2 linked regions of the Oreochromis niloticus genome follow. The protein of the gene in region 1 interacts with the protein of each later gene in a biochemical or structural test. Links are inferred from orthologs where the notes say so. Each region holds a gene or a part of one and is shown in the gene's direction. Other genes may lie near its edges.

The links.
Region 2: the proteins of rela (region 1) and pparg form a complex in vitro, tested with the Homo sapiens proteins (3 studies listed by BioGRID, with this or other methods). The link is inferred for Oreochromis niloticus from reciprocal best matches to the Homo sapiens genes RELA and PPARG.

What each region holds. Positions count from the first base shown.
Region 1 is NC_031967.2:4,865,045-4,872,751, forward strand, and holds the start of rela (transcription factor p65), read left to right. Parts: upstream 1-4,656; 5' UTR 4,657-4,858; coding exon 4,859-4,865; intron 4,866-6,619; coding exon 6,620-6,655; intron 6,656-6,825; coding exon 6,826-6,959; intron 6,960-7,707. Other genes in the region: serine/threonine-protein phosphatase PP1-beta catalytic subunit, read right to left, coding at 2,778-2,829. UniProt on the Homo sapiens protein: NF-kappa-B is a pleiotropic transcription factor present in almost all cell types and is the endpoint of a series of signal transduction events that are initiated by a vast array of stimuli related to many biological processes such as inflammation, immunity, differentiation, cell growth, tumorigenesis and apoptosis.
Region 2 is NC_031970.2:18,929,451-18,937,459, reverse strand, and holds the start of pparg (peroxisome proliferator-activated receptor gamma), read left to right. Parts: upstream 1-4,905; 5' UTR 4,906-4,934; coding exon of another isoform or gene 4,935-4,986; intron 4,987-8,009. UniProt on the Homo sapiens protein: Nuclear receptor that binds peroxisome proliferators such as hypolipidemic drugs and fatty acids.

The sequences.
Region 1 (7,707 bases):
GCTCGCATGAATCTGAATACACATTTTCTTCTTCTTTAAAGGTGCTTAACCATTACTTAACCAAGTGTTTGGTCATTTTTATGAAAGCCAATTACTTAAAATTCACTATGTAAAGGTTTTCTTTACAATCCATAACAGAAAATCGAATACCTTTTACAGTTTTTCCCACAGAACTAAACGGGATTTACGATGAGAGCAGGTTGATGCATATGATTGTGTCTATATATCTAAATAATAGGAATACACAACGTTTGTGACCATTATTCATATTCAGCTGTCTACCCAGTTAGGACATCATACAGCAGACAATTCGACTATCCAGATCAACAGTAAGCGACAGTATTCCTCATTCTGCTCTGTGGTGTTCAGCATAACAGCATATAAACCACACCTCCACCTGCCACAGATTCTGGAGAAGCTCACAGAGGACTTCCAGAATAGACGAAGGCTACTGTTGCTAGATGCAGTCCACAGTGGTGGTGTTGAGTCTGTCCAATCACAGGACGAAAGACTCTCTGGGGAAGCAGCTCAGTGACATTGAGGGTTGCTGCAAAGATCACATCAGCCTGCTGGTGCAGAAACTGCTTAGCAGCAACTGCAGTCTCAGAATTATAGCAACTGGATTGGCCATGGATAAGAAAATAAAGACTGGCTTTGAAATTTAAAAAAAAAAAAAAAAAAAAAAAAAAAAAAAATTGCTAAAAGGAGTCCCAAATTATTCTTAGACAGGCATTAGTATACAAAAGTAACCTACAGAAGTAAATTCATTTCTGGGAAACACCATTTTGGAGTAAACAAGTAATTTAAATGCAGGAACATTGGGTTTACTTGGAGCCCTATTTTAATAAGATTTAAAACCTTTTGTTTTAAAAAAGCCCACAGAAACAATGTCAGATAATCTGATTACAAAAACATCACACCATCCAAACTGAAATGAGTATGCTCAACAAAATCTAGACATTGCAGCAATACTGGGAGACATTTCAAATGCACCCAGCCCATCTATTACTAATCACCGAGTATTTGTGACCCATCACCAGATAACTGGTTTCGTATACATCCAGTTTTGGTTATGAGTCAGAACTAAAAGCCTTCAGTACAGCTTATGATGCCCCTCTGATAATATGGTCACACCAACAAAAAAGCCAGACATTTTCAAATGGTTGCAGATGAAAAGTGAATGAAAGGAGATGGATAGTTGGATACATTGAGGGCTAACATCTGGAAGCTTTTAGGGCCAGATCCCTCCAATTTCCTGCAATGAAGTTAACTTCTAAACATGAAGCCAGCATACTATAGTCAATTCTTGCAGGCACAGTACTGTTACACTCTACAGATCACGCACAAAGAGAAAACAAGCACCATTATGTCACTGCTCCTGTCAGTCCAGATGATTAAGTTATACTGACATGCACTGCACATCTACATTGGGTTCAATCATTAGCAGAAGTTGCTTTCCATGAGATGATCTGGCATGAATGCTTGTTCACCACTGACTCAGAGAGATATAATCTCTCTGCTTATAATCTGTTTTCAAGAAATTATCATCTACATCGACTCCTCTGTCTGTCAGAATCCCTCATTTAGCACTGCTAAGAAAATCATCCCCTGCTGCTAGCCAACACATAACAATGGAGTAGGGGCAAAAACACTTTTACACAACAGCTCAGCAGCCCACATGCATATAAGCTACCACAGAATACAGAATTAACAAGTGTCTCTCTGGATAAAGTTGAACCACAGCTAGTATCGAAAAGATTCTTATTAAATATAGTACTGCTGACAAAATGTGTGTTCTTTATGATCAAAAGGCCAGCTGAACAAACTATATGCACTCGTTCATGGAATAAGAAAACACACGGAGTAGTAGAGCTAAAAGTTTGGTTTAGGTTTTGAACTCCTACAAGTATGTTTTAATGGGAATACTACTGAAGCCTGTGGCTTGTGTAAACATCGCCATTTAGCAATATGCGCCAGAAAACAACACAGAGCTGCAGTCTTCAGCTCAGAAACCCTTAAGCCAAATCCCATTTAAATATTTTGAATTTTTCTTAGAAGTAAAGACAAACCCAATTTTTAGAAATCAGAGGCAAGATTTTACTTCCTCGTGGATCAGGCAGCTGTTGGAACACTTTCGGCTACACTCAATCGTCAATCTAAACTTTATTTTTAAGGAAATGTCAACTTTTGCTGAGCATTTGCCCCTGAAGCTATCGCCCTCCACAGCGTATTTTGAACAGAGCTTTTGTAAAGGACCAGAGACTATAATAGGTTGAAAGACAGTAGAAACAACTTGCCAAGTATTTTATTTGGTGCATTCCAAAGAAATGCACCAAATAAAATTGATGCTGTGACATTAGTAAGACAGCACTTAATTACTATAATATTAGCTAGTTAGACTAAGATGGATAGTAAGATAGGTCTGACATTCTCTTCCATACTGGAGCCATCGAAGCACAAACAGCCCACTAGCAATAACTTTCTTACCACTCAATCACCCAAACCTTCAAAATGCAGTGTACAAAAAAGCTCGATCATAGCTGTATCCACATCAATTACAAATTAATCTAAAAAGAGCCGTGAAGGAAAGACGGCTGCTGAATAAAAAGGTGTGCCTGTTGTTAACGACAGTGAGGACCAGTCCTGCTCACTCCAGAACCGGGCAACGCTAACACGTAAAGCGGGCCTTTCTTGTCAAAAATGAAACCTAAATAAGTATTAGGGGCTAACACTGGGCAAAACAAGAATACATAAATAAAAGTTGGTTGTGAACTCACCCTCTAAAAGCCTGGAAATCAGCGAGTCGACGTCCAACTCCCCCTCCGCCATTTCTGTAACGAACAGCTCTGCCCGCCGCAGTCTGAAGCAGGCAGAGCAGACACCGCCTCAACGAACAGAAACCGCCTCCCTTTCGCGGCCTCCCATTTAGGGCAATTACGCCTCATTCAACTACGCCTCGGATATTTTAGTTTCTAGAGAAGAAAGGAGAACAGTGGACAGTTTTTTTTAATTTGAAAACATAGTAATCATATTCATAAGTTTCACGTACTTTTTTTCCTCCTCATTTTCTAATTCAAGCCTCAAATTCAGCTAATGCTATATAAAGTATGGCTCAACCATAAACATCGTGATATAAGGGTACAAAAATGTATTTGTATTAGAAAATAAGGGTAACCAAACAAACAGATGCTCAATTACATATTCACTGCATTTTCTTGCTTTTTACCTGTGATTTTCGATTGCGTTGAATGCGTCAGCTTATCCAGGGCTTCTTACAGCAACAATCATAATAATAACGATGCAAAAATTACCATTAGATATACTCTATTTATAATGAAACATCGTTTACCCTAAGAAAATCTGGATAAGTTTTCATTTTCACCACATTCTATCAAAGGACAGGTGTCCTAAAGGCCCTGATTTATTCACCTCGAGCGCCCCCTTCTGGTCAGGATATGTCAACACTTTAAGAGTAATGGTTTTGATATATAAATATTGTTTACTGATTCTGAGAGCAAAATTAGTCCTTTATTCACGTTACTTTGTCTTCAACTGGACTAAAACAACATGGTGAAATAATCGTTGATTAAAAAAAGAAAGAAAAAAAGAGTTTGAAGCCCTATCACTATTATCACACTGTATTAAGTAGACACTGATTTCTAGTGCAACCAGCAGACCAGAAACTTGTAACGTAAGACCGTGTGTGAAGGACAGGCCAGAAAAACACAGCAGCTGGTAAACTTGAGATCTGTATGTTGTGTCTGTTTACAGAGAGAAGAGGCCGAGAACCGACAGACAGGAAAAAAAGTGAGTTGGATCTTAATCTTAAGGCTCTTCCAGGTTATGACTCAAGCCAAGAGTTATGTTATTGCCTCTCCCACTCACTTATTTTTCAGTTTCTTTCAAGTGCGTCACTGGGTATTTCCGCACTGTTTTGAGTGGGTGGTGGCAAGTTGCACTGCAGAGAGAAGGCAGAGGTCTGCAACTGGATCAAGCTAGCCACAGCGCCGGAAACGACGCAATTTTCCCTCTTCAAAATAAGAGCATGTAGTTTCTTATGAGCAATTGCTTGTCCCTTGCAAAGAGACCAAAGTCTTAAAATAAGTAACGCACAATTGGCATACACTACTCCTATTACACCACAGTTCTGCTATACTAATGTGATTATAGTAATTATTATTATGGCACAACAAAAGCGTGAAAACCATGAAAACAAACTATTGATAATTTTGGACTTGGTAAAGGCAGTAATGTATGCTTTAAAAATAAAAAATAAACCAAGCTATTGTTCTCTTCACAGCTATTTCCGTTATCTTGGAAATTACCCCCCGAAAAAAAAAATCTGCCATGTTTTGATTTTGTGAGTTCACTACAAATTTGATTCATTTATTTAACATTTAGTGATAAAGCTAATAGCTGCCTACGTAGTAAATAAAAGGTGTTATCCAATTTCAGATTCTGCATTTCTAATAAACGTGGCACAAAAACAATGCCTACTATGTGAGAAAAAGACATCGCAATGAAGAGAACAAAGCACGTACTGTGCAGTTGCTGCAACTTGGCGACAGGTGTGTTGCACAAAAAATAAACAGAAAGTTGCAACACATCGCTCCCCAAATAGATGTTACTTACCGGAAACCCCGTGAGCATGAACGTAACTATCCCTGCGGCTTTACTAACTGTACACTCTCATACACAGACGTAGGTGGAGCGAAGGAGGCGACAGAGCGGCTCTGTCAAGAACTTCGTGGAGTCTGTAGTGCCGTGTTTCCTGCTCTTTTTTGGCTTTAAACAAGATACAAATTATTGAGAAACAGCGGGGGATATCGAGGAGCGTGAGCTGGACTTGGACACAGCTATGGACCGTAAGTGAAGCTGCTTTTATTTACTCATCTCAGACACGGGAGGTGAAACTGTACAGGGAGTTGTTTTGCGCACAAGGGAAAGCCCCGCTATCATTGGGTTTTGCGCCAACAGGAGGAGTCTGTTCCCGGATACTAAACTAACGTACAGACAGAAGTTTGACTTAACTTTGGTTTATCGCATACATGTGAGATAGCCGAGAGAAACTTGATGTTTAACTGAATGAATTTCTCAGCGTGTGGACAACTCAACTGGCACGAGCGGAGCGAACCAAACGGTCTCGCGCTGCCAAGAGGCCCGTGGGGTTTGTCCACTTGAGAGATTTCCTTCTAGCCACTGAAACTTCGTTCGGAAGTCTCGCCATTTAATGTTTTTCTGTTTGTAAGTGGAAATGCTCTTTGTGAATCACGCTCTCAAAAGCTTATCAGTCACAGTGAATAGTGTATTTTAAATTCGGCCTGGTTAAAACCACCGTATAACGTTCTTTTCAATAAAAAAGTCTCGTATTTAATTGGGCGACGCTGCTAGCAACCGCCCACACCGGCTTTAATTGACAAAAACGGTTCCGATAGGAAATTGTGGTAATAAGCTCTGTGTTCAGGAGAACACGTGTATGCAGATACTGTGAAGATTTCACAGCCGCCCCCGTTTCTATTTTATTCCATATATACCTTTCCCTTTAGGCTAAACCATAAACAAACGACATTTTATAATGGAGTTCTGTTGACTTCCTATGTTTAGAGTGCAGCCATACTTTATGCAAATGTTATAACCCTTAAAATAGATTATGTTTGTTGATAAGTGTCACTTATCTCTGTCTTGGATGTGGATATTGGCACGACAAACAGCCATCATCTGACTGAGCATCATAAAAAGTATGTCCCTTTGTTCGGTCAGTAAAAATGAAAGTGATTCTAGCAACAGTGTCGAAGACCTCAGGTGTGATGCTCTTAATTCAGTCATTAATGATCTTTCGATCATTGTGGGTATGTGCTTTCACTTTCACATCATCCAGACTCAGTAAGTAGAAAAGACTGTCTTTCACATAAGTGGTCAAAATGCAGTCATTACAGACTTATGTCATCCATTTTTTAAAAATGTTTGTTTGTTATTTTTAGTCTTGACTTTGGGGCTTTAGGCAGCCTCTTCATTCAATATTATTCTGGCATTTTAGGTATGATCAGAACCTAAAAAGCAAGAATAATGTCTTTGGGCTGAAGCTAGAAAGCAAACATGTTACAGCATGGAAAGGACTCTACTCAAGCTTTTGAACTGAACCAGTCCTGCCTGCTGATGGGTGGAGCTTTGATCAACTCATCCAGTGTCACACCTTACTTATTGCCTGAAACTGGAGTGCTCCCTGCACTAAAGGCTTCCAGCAACAAAGCTGGTAACCTGACACCAATATTAAAAGCCCTGCCTGTCATTGTTTGCCTTTTTCTGCACTTCGTCTCCTTCTCGGTAGCTTTGCAGGCAAGTGGTTTATGACAACCAGAGATTATATTTAGCTGGGAGGCCCTTGTATCTCGGCGTCCTTCGACCCCGTTGGACGCTGCACTCTCTTGTAGAATTCCACCCTGACCTCACCACAAATGACAAACTCTGACTAAACCACAAATATGCAACAAATCTGTTTTCTATTATTTTTGTCATCTCCACCACCACTGTGTGCTTCCTCGTGTAAGTCGTAGATGGAAAACCTGCAGTTTTTCTCAATAAGTTGGTTAAATTCCGTTCTTGTTTCTGTTCATCACAGCTGGATATGGATGGAGCCTTACCCCGCTCAACCAGGGTAAGCGCACTTTCCTTTTTAAAAAGAATTACTGATGTTCTCTGCAGTGATTTCATGAGTAAACATTTCTACCCTCGGGTGTAGTGACGATCGATGAGGCTGTATCTGTGTTGACACACGTAAAGCAGTATTTCACAATGAGCACACAATGCCTTTGCTTTCCTCAACAGCTCCCTACATAGAGATTATCGAGCAGCCAAAGCAAAGGGGGATGAGATTTAGGTACAAGTGTGAGGGACGGTCTGCTGGCAGCATTCCCGGAGAAAAAAGTAATGACACCACTAAGACCCACCCAGCAATCAAGGTGTGTTGGTTCATTCGATTCATTAAATATCATTTACGTTACAGATAATATACACATTGGTGAAGATTTAGGTGCATGCAGCCACAGCAACTGTTTCCATAGTGACTCATGTATGTCAACTGTACATTTATAGTGGAGAAGGTCAGTGCTGAAAAAATGCTTTCTCCAGCTGAAACATCTGTTTTTCTTGTTGAATGTTAGGAACACAGACTGTATATGTGTGATGGATGTAGCAAGCCCAATTAAAGGGAGCTAAAATATTTTTTTACACCAGCTGCTAGATTTAAAAGGACAAATACATTTGAATTTCAATAAAACAACACTTCTTACATCTCTTTTCATACAAGAAATCCAATATTGTTCATAAAATACTATCCTTTTTCTAGGATAAGGATAATCAGACATTAGAAGTTTAGTTAAATCACAACAGAATGTACAGGTGTGCATAAGAAGCAGCTGCTTATAGGTGGTTGTTGGTAGAAATTCTCTGCTTTCCCTCATTTCATGTAAAAAAAATATATAATATATATATTTTGTTGATCATTTCAATTGAAAACGTAATTTCCAGAAGAAAACATTTTTCCTACAATATCGGCAAAATTAATTCTGGACTATGAAAGAATGGAGTGATGTTATCAGCTAACGCTAACAAGCTTGGTTTGCAAGTTGCATCTGTTAGTACAAATTCATAAACCCAAACTGAAGAATGGACCTGTTGGATGTGCAGTTAGTGCAGATAACTTATATT
Region 2 (8,009 bases), on another chromosome or scaffold:
TTTTGCTATGTCCTTTTTCTCTCAGCATATATATTTATTTTCCTTTAGATGAAAAATACTAAGGCATCCACAAAAGTCTCCCTAACAAATCTACAATGCCAGAAGGCTTACTGTATATCAAAACATTGCAGAACTTTATATCTTACACAGTCAGAACAATATTTACATTTTATGAACACTTTAAAGTAGAAAAATGATCATTTGCCAGTAGCATCACATAAATTTAAGCGAGCGAGGTGTGAATTAATGATGTCTTGTGGTGTTTTATTTAAGAGGCACTGGGTTGAATTTTCTCTTGTGAGCCAGCAGATGGCACTGTGTATATGTGGAAGTGCTGTCAGTTGTGTACTTGTCATTTCTCAAGATCAGCATTTTATCATTTTTATTACACTATTAAAGAATACCTTCCATATAAAAATACCTTACACATCTCTAAAGATGTCTCTAAAAATATTACTTATACATACAGACGTGTGTAAAAACACATATTAATGACACTTTAAAAAAAAAAGTTCTTTGTCATATTTTCCTCATCCTGTTCTTCTTTCATATCCTGCCTTTAATGTCACGCTTTTGTCACACTTTAAGAAGGCGAGTGGTGGAAGGGCCCTTTTCACATGTGCCACTTTAGCCTTTAACATAAACCACAATACTTTTGCGTGAAACGGAACTTTTGTTTTCCTCTCTGTTGTGTAAAGAGGCAGACAGTGTGTTTACTGTATGCAGCATAAAAAATCTGACATAATCAGATGCTTCATCTACATCACAAAGGGTTTCAAGGTAACATCAAGTTTAAACAATTTTTTAAAATTAGAAAAAAGAACCAGTTCTTCAACAAAGTCTGGGAGCGCTTATAACATGACACACACGTGTACAAACAGACACACTTTATATACAGTGTGTGCAGTCAGGACAGAGGAAACACACTTTGCTTTTGGCTCTTGGTCCATGGGGCAACCAGTCAACAGAGATCTGTGGGAACGTCTCCATCACGTTGCTCAAAGGGACATTTATGTGGGCGGCTAACGCACCAAGCAAGCCTATACTAGCCAAATCCTGTTTGTCTTGGTGCTCATCCCAACCTGCTGGAGGGAGAGATGGGAGATTAAATGTTATAATCTAAAGATTTAGTTCATTTGTCATCCCATACATAAGAGCATGGAGGGACAAATCAAGCCAGTTTGTCCGATTTCTTCTGCCGTAACGTTAACTGTGAGGGTTTCAATTTCCTCACTAAAAGCCACATTGATTTTGAGCAGCTTGCACCCCTCGTAAGCCTGAAAAATGACAAGTCTTTTTCACTTTATAATAATCATGACAGCGTAGGAGAGCCCTGTTAAGATACACAAGTACTTTCATGATGAACATTTTCAGATACCAGAGCTCGAGTCTGCAGGGATTCGACTGTATAAACAATCAGAAATTATTGCTTTGCTTTGTTTGTAACAGCCAAACTCTCAGGGGTGTCATTTTTTTTTATCTCTGCAAAAAAAGAAAGAAATTCTGCATGGGGAGGATGTTATGCATGTGAGACAGAGTGAGAGAATGTGTGTGTGTGTGTGTGTGTGTGTGTGTGTGTGTGTGTGTGTGTGTGTGTGTGTGTGTAAATAACCAAAGTGTAGCAGCTGTCTCAGTCCACCATACTGAGTTATAATAGATCAAAGGCAGCTAAACTGAAGCTCACTGTTGCACTCACAGGGTAGCAAAATTAACAGCTGCATTTACCTGCGTTTTGAAACTGTTTTGTTTTTTTTGGGGGGTTTTTTTAGAATTGATTGCAGTGTTGAGCAGTGAGTGGCAGGGCTTAACATCAGTTGCGTTGAATTGCTTCAAAAACAGGTTGAAACGTCTGCTCACACAAATTCTACCTTGATGTTTGAGAAGTAACACCGTCAGGTATCTGTTCACACGTTTGCTTTAGTTTGGTTTTGACACAAATCCCACTACAATTTTTGGACTTGTTACATTTTTATTGAAAGACCTTCTAAGAATTCTAGCATATGCTATAGATTCATATTTATTTGTTGCAATCACAGTGACACGACGACGGTCTCTATTGCAAACCAAAGATTACAGTTTGCTAAAATAACTTCCTGAAAAACCATGAATGCAAACCAGGACATGTAGTTGTGCACATGCTGTTTCAACGTCATAGACAGCCACCTCAAAGCGAGCAGCCCCAACAGGTCAGACTCTGGTCAAATGACCAAAAAAAGGGGGAAGGCAGCTTTATTCCTTTGTGTGTGTGTTTTCTACAGGCCTCTTTGTACTTGTTGGGCTATTGTACATTTCAGCACTGGTAAAAGTTTAAAACAAAATCTAATATGTGTGTTTGTTCATGGATTTTGTTTAGCGAGCAGTACTCATGCAATGGCACATTTCAGTCTGAACACCCACCTGCACCGTGAGTGCTGAGATGCTTCATTCGTAATCTTAAGAATAGCTCCTTCAGTCTGTGGTAAGCAGGGTATTTACAGCAGTTCAACATCCGATATGTAGTCAGATATAACAAAATGTGATTTCAAGATAAGAGCATTAAAAAACACGAACCACATCTGCTTTCAGTCAGCAGTGTAAAAAAATTAAAAGTAGCCCTTAGATTCTGTCATGTCTGGTTTTCAGTTAAAAACAGAGCGAGCTTTTTGTTGAGGTTAGTCAAAGATCCTTAAATCTACAACAAAGTCTAAAAAGATGCAGCACGTAGGCAAATTTACTATTCATTGTGCACCTGTTTTTGCACTGAGTCTCAGCAGGCTAGCTGACTGTCCGGATGGAGTTTCATGAACTAAGTGATGCAGCAGAGTAAAATTTCAGCTTCAGTAAACACATGAGAGGGTCGACAGGATGTTATCTGCTAAACGACACTCGCAGGATTTCCTAGTGAACTAGATGACTTAATTGCACAGTCAAATGATCACCCTGTTGTCTTTCAGCAGGTGAATTCAGTCCTGTCTTCTAAGACCAAAGACTGCGATGTCAGAAATATGACTGTAATCAGCCCGATAGTCATCACTGGTAAACTAAGTGACTAAGAGGGGGGGGGCCCGACAGGCAGCAACAAAACAAGCAACCACTTACTGTCAAGTGACTGCATATTAAAGGAACAATTGACTATTATTGGGGAATGGACTTAATATCGAAAGTTAAATTAGTTGGTTAACAGCTTAGTACAGCTGCTACTTATGAAGTAGTTACAAATTAGCTTTCAGATTTGATGTACACAAGACGTCAGCTTAGAAAACACGTTGCACTGTTTTCGATTAAGCTACCGACCAGTACTCTAAATAAAACGAGCCCCACCTTTAAAAAACTACATCAACAAACCCGTGCTTACACGTGAATGCATCAGTATTAGTGATCCAATAATATCAAACAAGACTAATCCAAGCTATGACGTCTCAATGTGCGCCTTTTTTTCTCCATAATGAAACCTGTCAAAGTTTAAGTATATATAATTGAGTAATGGATTATTTTTATAACTATGCTAGTGAATCACGACATATGACTTACATTAAACTGAATTGAATTTTTCTTGCCACGTTCAACTGGTTATCTTAGTAAAAATAAATAAATAAAAATAAATGTAAAAAAAAAACAAACTTACCAAATAAAGTGTAACCTTACTTGCTTAATCTGCAAAACCAGTATCTAAAAGCCGAACTACTTCTTGGAGGGGAACAATACTTTAAAGAGACTCACTTGTTCCATACACAGTTCCCGGAAAAAAAAAATAGCGTGACACATAGCAGGTAAATGATATACGAATGCAGTTTACTATTGGTGCATCTAAGTTAGAGCAGCTTTTCACAAGTGGTAAGCGGATTTTATTAGTTTTTAACCATACCAAAAGGTGATTTTTTTTCTTTTCTTTTAGCAGTCTTTGGTCTAAGGTAATCCACTGAGCTCTTGACTACTGTTAAAATTATATCAAACTATCTTAACTACCTGCAAGTTAAGTGAATATGTGCTTTGCTGAAGAGGTGGAACTATTCCTTTAAGTTATTTGTTCCACATGGCTAAACACCTAAGAAACAACACTTTTAGGTCTGAATTTTACATTACCTGTTTCTCCCATATGGGGCAAACAACTGAGAAAATCCACTATAATGGGTAATTTGATGCCTCTGCCTGTGTCCTCACGATCCCGATCGGTTGTGTTGAGAGGAGGGAGGAGAGAGAGCGAGAGAGAGGCAGGCTGACACGACCACAGCTGCTGCTGCTGCTGCTTGAGCAGAAAACCGCACAGCAAACACGCCGGACCTCTTTGACGCCGCGCTCCGGTGCGCACGGTGCGGACGCCACGGTTTGTTTGGGTTTTCCGTTGTTTGTTTGGGGTTTTTTTTCGAGTTTTGAAAGAAATTAACAACATCGAAAATAAAAGACAAACCATCCAGCTTCAGAAACAGAGAGTGTGCGCTGTCTCCTCTGCGCCTCAACACACCGATCAGGTCAGTCACCTTCCGGTCGGCACAGTATGCTGCGCTGAGTGTTGCGGTTGTTAGGCTGGGTGAGAAAATACGGGAAAGCACCGTAAAAAAGGGGGGGGGGGTGTATTTAAATTATTGAAGACTGGGTTAATATTACACTGTTGCAGTCTCATCTGATATTAAATATTCGTGCACGTTAACCAAAAAAGACAAAAGAAAACATGTTTGCGGTGATTTGGTTCAAAAGTAGTTTAAACAAGTAGATTCAAGCTGGAGACTTGTTGATTTATCCAGCTGTGTCTAAATCAGTATTGTCCCCGGTCTACATGTTAAGGTGGACACGCACAGGTAGCCTACAGTGTGACAGGATGGCTGTGGCACACAGATTGGGGGTGGCAATGACGGGGGGAGGAGGGGCGGGGGGCGGCCACAGGACTGACAACTGACACAAAGTCAGGTGTTGAGCCATAGTGTGCCTGAGGGCCATAGTGTGAGTGTGAGCTTGACATGCAAACACCAGGCAGAGATTTTACCCATCAAACTGACCACAGCTTCTCAGGTGAGTGCGAGGAATGCTTTGTTTGTTTCTGTGTATGTCGTGCTGAGAAACTTTGTAGAATAAGCATTTCATAAGCATTTATCTGAGTAAAAGAGGCTTTTTACAGGGCCTGTACAGTACATATGTGTATGTGTACTTCTCTGAAGTCTATACCTTTTGTGTCATACGTGGAATTTGTGGATATGTCGCACACGCTTCAGGCAGTTCTGTGTTCTTGGAATTGACAGGAAAATAATGGTGGTGACTCAGCAATATTGTTGACTGGAGCTCAGACTTAAACACTCGTTTCTCTTTGAGGCTTGCTGCGCGGCTCTGTGATAGATGATGTGAACTGTTAAACGTCTCGGTGGTATTCTTTTAAGACTCAGTAATGACACACGGTGAGAAAACTTGTAAGAGCCCCGTGTAAAGCGTAAGAGTGTCACAATAAGTTCACCTGTTTTCCTCATCGCTTTGTATGATCTTCATGTCAGTCGTCTCATAACACTGTGGGGTTGCTGGAAGAACATTCAGAGATATTTTATAACAGCAACAATCACTATTTTATCCATTATATCCTTCAAATCACAACTTTTCGTTCAAAACTTAGTTTGCTATTTACATGCACAAGGGCATTTCAGACATTTTTCATGTGTTTGGTCTGTTTACTTTCCTCTGAGTCTATTAGATGTTACATTTAACATCACAGCAGGCTTATTGTCACAGTATGTTGACCCTCAAAACCAAAAATTGGGAATCAATTGAAGGCAAATGTAAAAACAGCTCCCCAAGTGAGTAAGTACATGTCAGTGGTAGTAAATGAGCTGAAGCAGTCATGTTTTATCATAATATTCAGCAAAGATAAAGATAGTGGAAAATCAGCAGCAATATATTTTTAACAATTAAGTCAGAAAGTCAGAGAAACAGTGTCGACAAAACGGGAGTTATTTTATTTAAATATAGTAGTAGTACATTTTTAAGGGTGATCTCAAGTAACAGATCCTGTGAATTATTAGACATTTAGCAGAATGATCTCACAGATTAAACGGCCATGCAACGTGACCCTTGATGTAATACGGCTATTTTAAAATCAGAGAACTTCTGATAAAATTGTGGGTGAGAAATAAGAGAAGTTATAAAAAGGTTATTGTTTTGTTTTTTTCATTTTGTTGAAGTGATTTCATGTAAGTTTGGTAATACTGTTTGAAAAAGACTTTTTTGTTAACTTTTTGAATCTTTTGTTTCGCTGTGTCTGATTCAAATATTTGTGTCTAAAATCTCCAGGAACTCTTATCAGTTAGAGAAATATATCATATCTTTGGTGAAATTAGCCTTTAATCTCTGCATACGCTGCTTAAAATCTGACTACCCAATTGAGTGTGTTGATACATCATCAATCAGTGCCTTATTGCCTGTCGGGTTATATAACTGCAGAAGTGAGGTGTGTGTGTGTGTGTGTGTGTGTGTATGGGTGTTGGTGTGTGTGAGAGAATGACTGTGATAGATTTGGACTTTGCTTAGTTGCCATAAATGAAAGGAGTGCCTCAAGATACCATGCTATGTTTTTGTTGTCCATCACACGTGCTGAAAGTCTTGTTTGACTTTTCGTAGATGATATACTTCTGCACAAAGCCACAGATACAAAGTTCAGCCTCTTAAAAACACCTCCGCACAGACAATTGCCTTAGTTCTTGAAAATCTGTGTTAATTTAAAATCTATGATGAGAGAGTTGCCGCTCCTCTATGCAGCGGTTTTAAAATGTTGCAAAACTTCATTAAGAGCCAAGCATAATCACTGCATGAAAGGAAAGAAGACAGTCTGCGCATTTGTGTCTGCATAAAATCCATATAAAAGTGAATGGCACGTTCCTATACAGCCCACAGATAATTAACCACTTTTGTTTCTACACCACCAACACTTTGGTTTGTTTACTATATATCAGATTAACTTATTCTTACTGTGTTTTTCAAAAGCGCATGTTTGATTTACTTTTATCTGATGACATGCGTATTTGACGCAGTTTAGCCTTAAGGTCATGTATTTGTTTTTTCAATTGGGTGTAATTATTAACTTCAAGGCCAATCATTTCACCATTTACTGTATGTTTAAAGCAACATTTTGGCTGCGGAATTCTACTGACCGCCGAAATATGGGACACAAGCAGGTTATTTACAAATGAAAAATTCTGCTTTACTAGTTAAACTTTTATGTCTGGATCTCCCTTTCTTTAAACCAGTGTCCCCTCCTCTTTACTGTAAAATTTGTGTCTATACTGATTTTATTTGTACTGATGAGCATTATGATTTACTTGATTTTTAGCCCATTTTTGCAGGGTCGTATTTTTGCATTATTGTATATTTGGAGCTGATCAACATCAACTGTACATTTGGGAAATGTAAAAACGTCCCTCTGCTTAACATTTCACTATTTCTTAGACTGAATCAGAAGATTGAGTCTGAGGTTTAGCATGCTGAATGTGTTAGATGTGGGTTTTTTAATCAATGCAAATTGAGTCGACAGAACCTTTGGCAAGGTAAACTTTTTTGCAACCACAGCACCTGTTATCACTCTCGCAATGATTCCTAAATCACAACAACACCTGCTCCCTGAGAAGTGACTCATGTTTCTCATTTCTTTACATGCTGTCCTAAATAAATCTGTGTTTGTGTGGGAAGAGAACATGTTTTAGCTGCCAAGTGTAAACATGATGCCTTTCAGGTATTTCTCTTCTGATGCCCGCTTAAAATTGCCTCCTAAATTTTAGACTGTGAACATGAGGAATCACGTTTTCCTGGGGCTCATATTAAAGCCCTAATAAAGGCCCTAATTTTTATTAGAGATCTGTTTACTATTGTTTACTATTGGTATTGTCACGGATTAATCTACTGATTGTTATTAATTTAGAGTTCTCTGCAAAAAATGTAGGCATTTTATCCTGAATAATGAGAAACGATTTATTGAGCGTTAAACTTACCCCTGCTCAAGCATGTTAATCTGTTATCAACTTTCACGTGCTTGAAAACGAAGAGACGATATGTCTGGA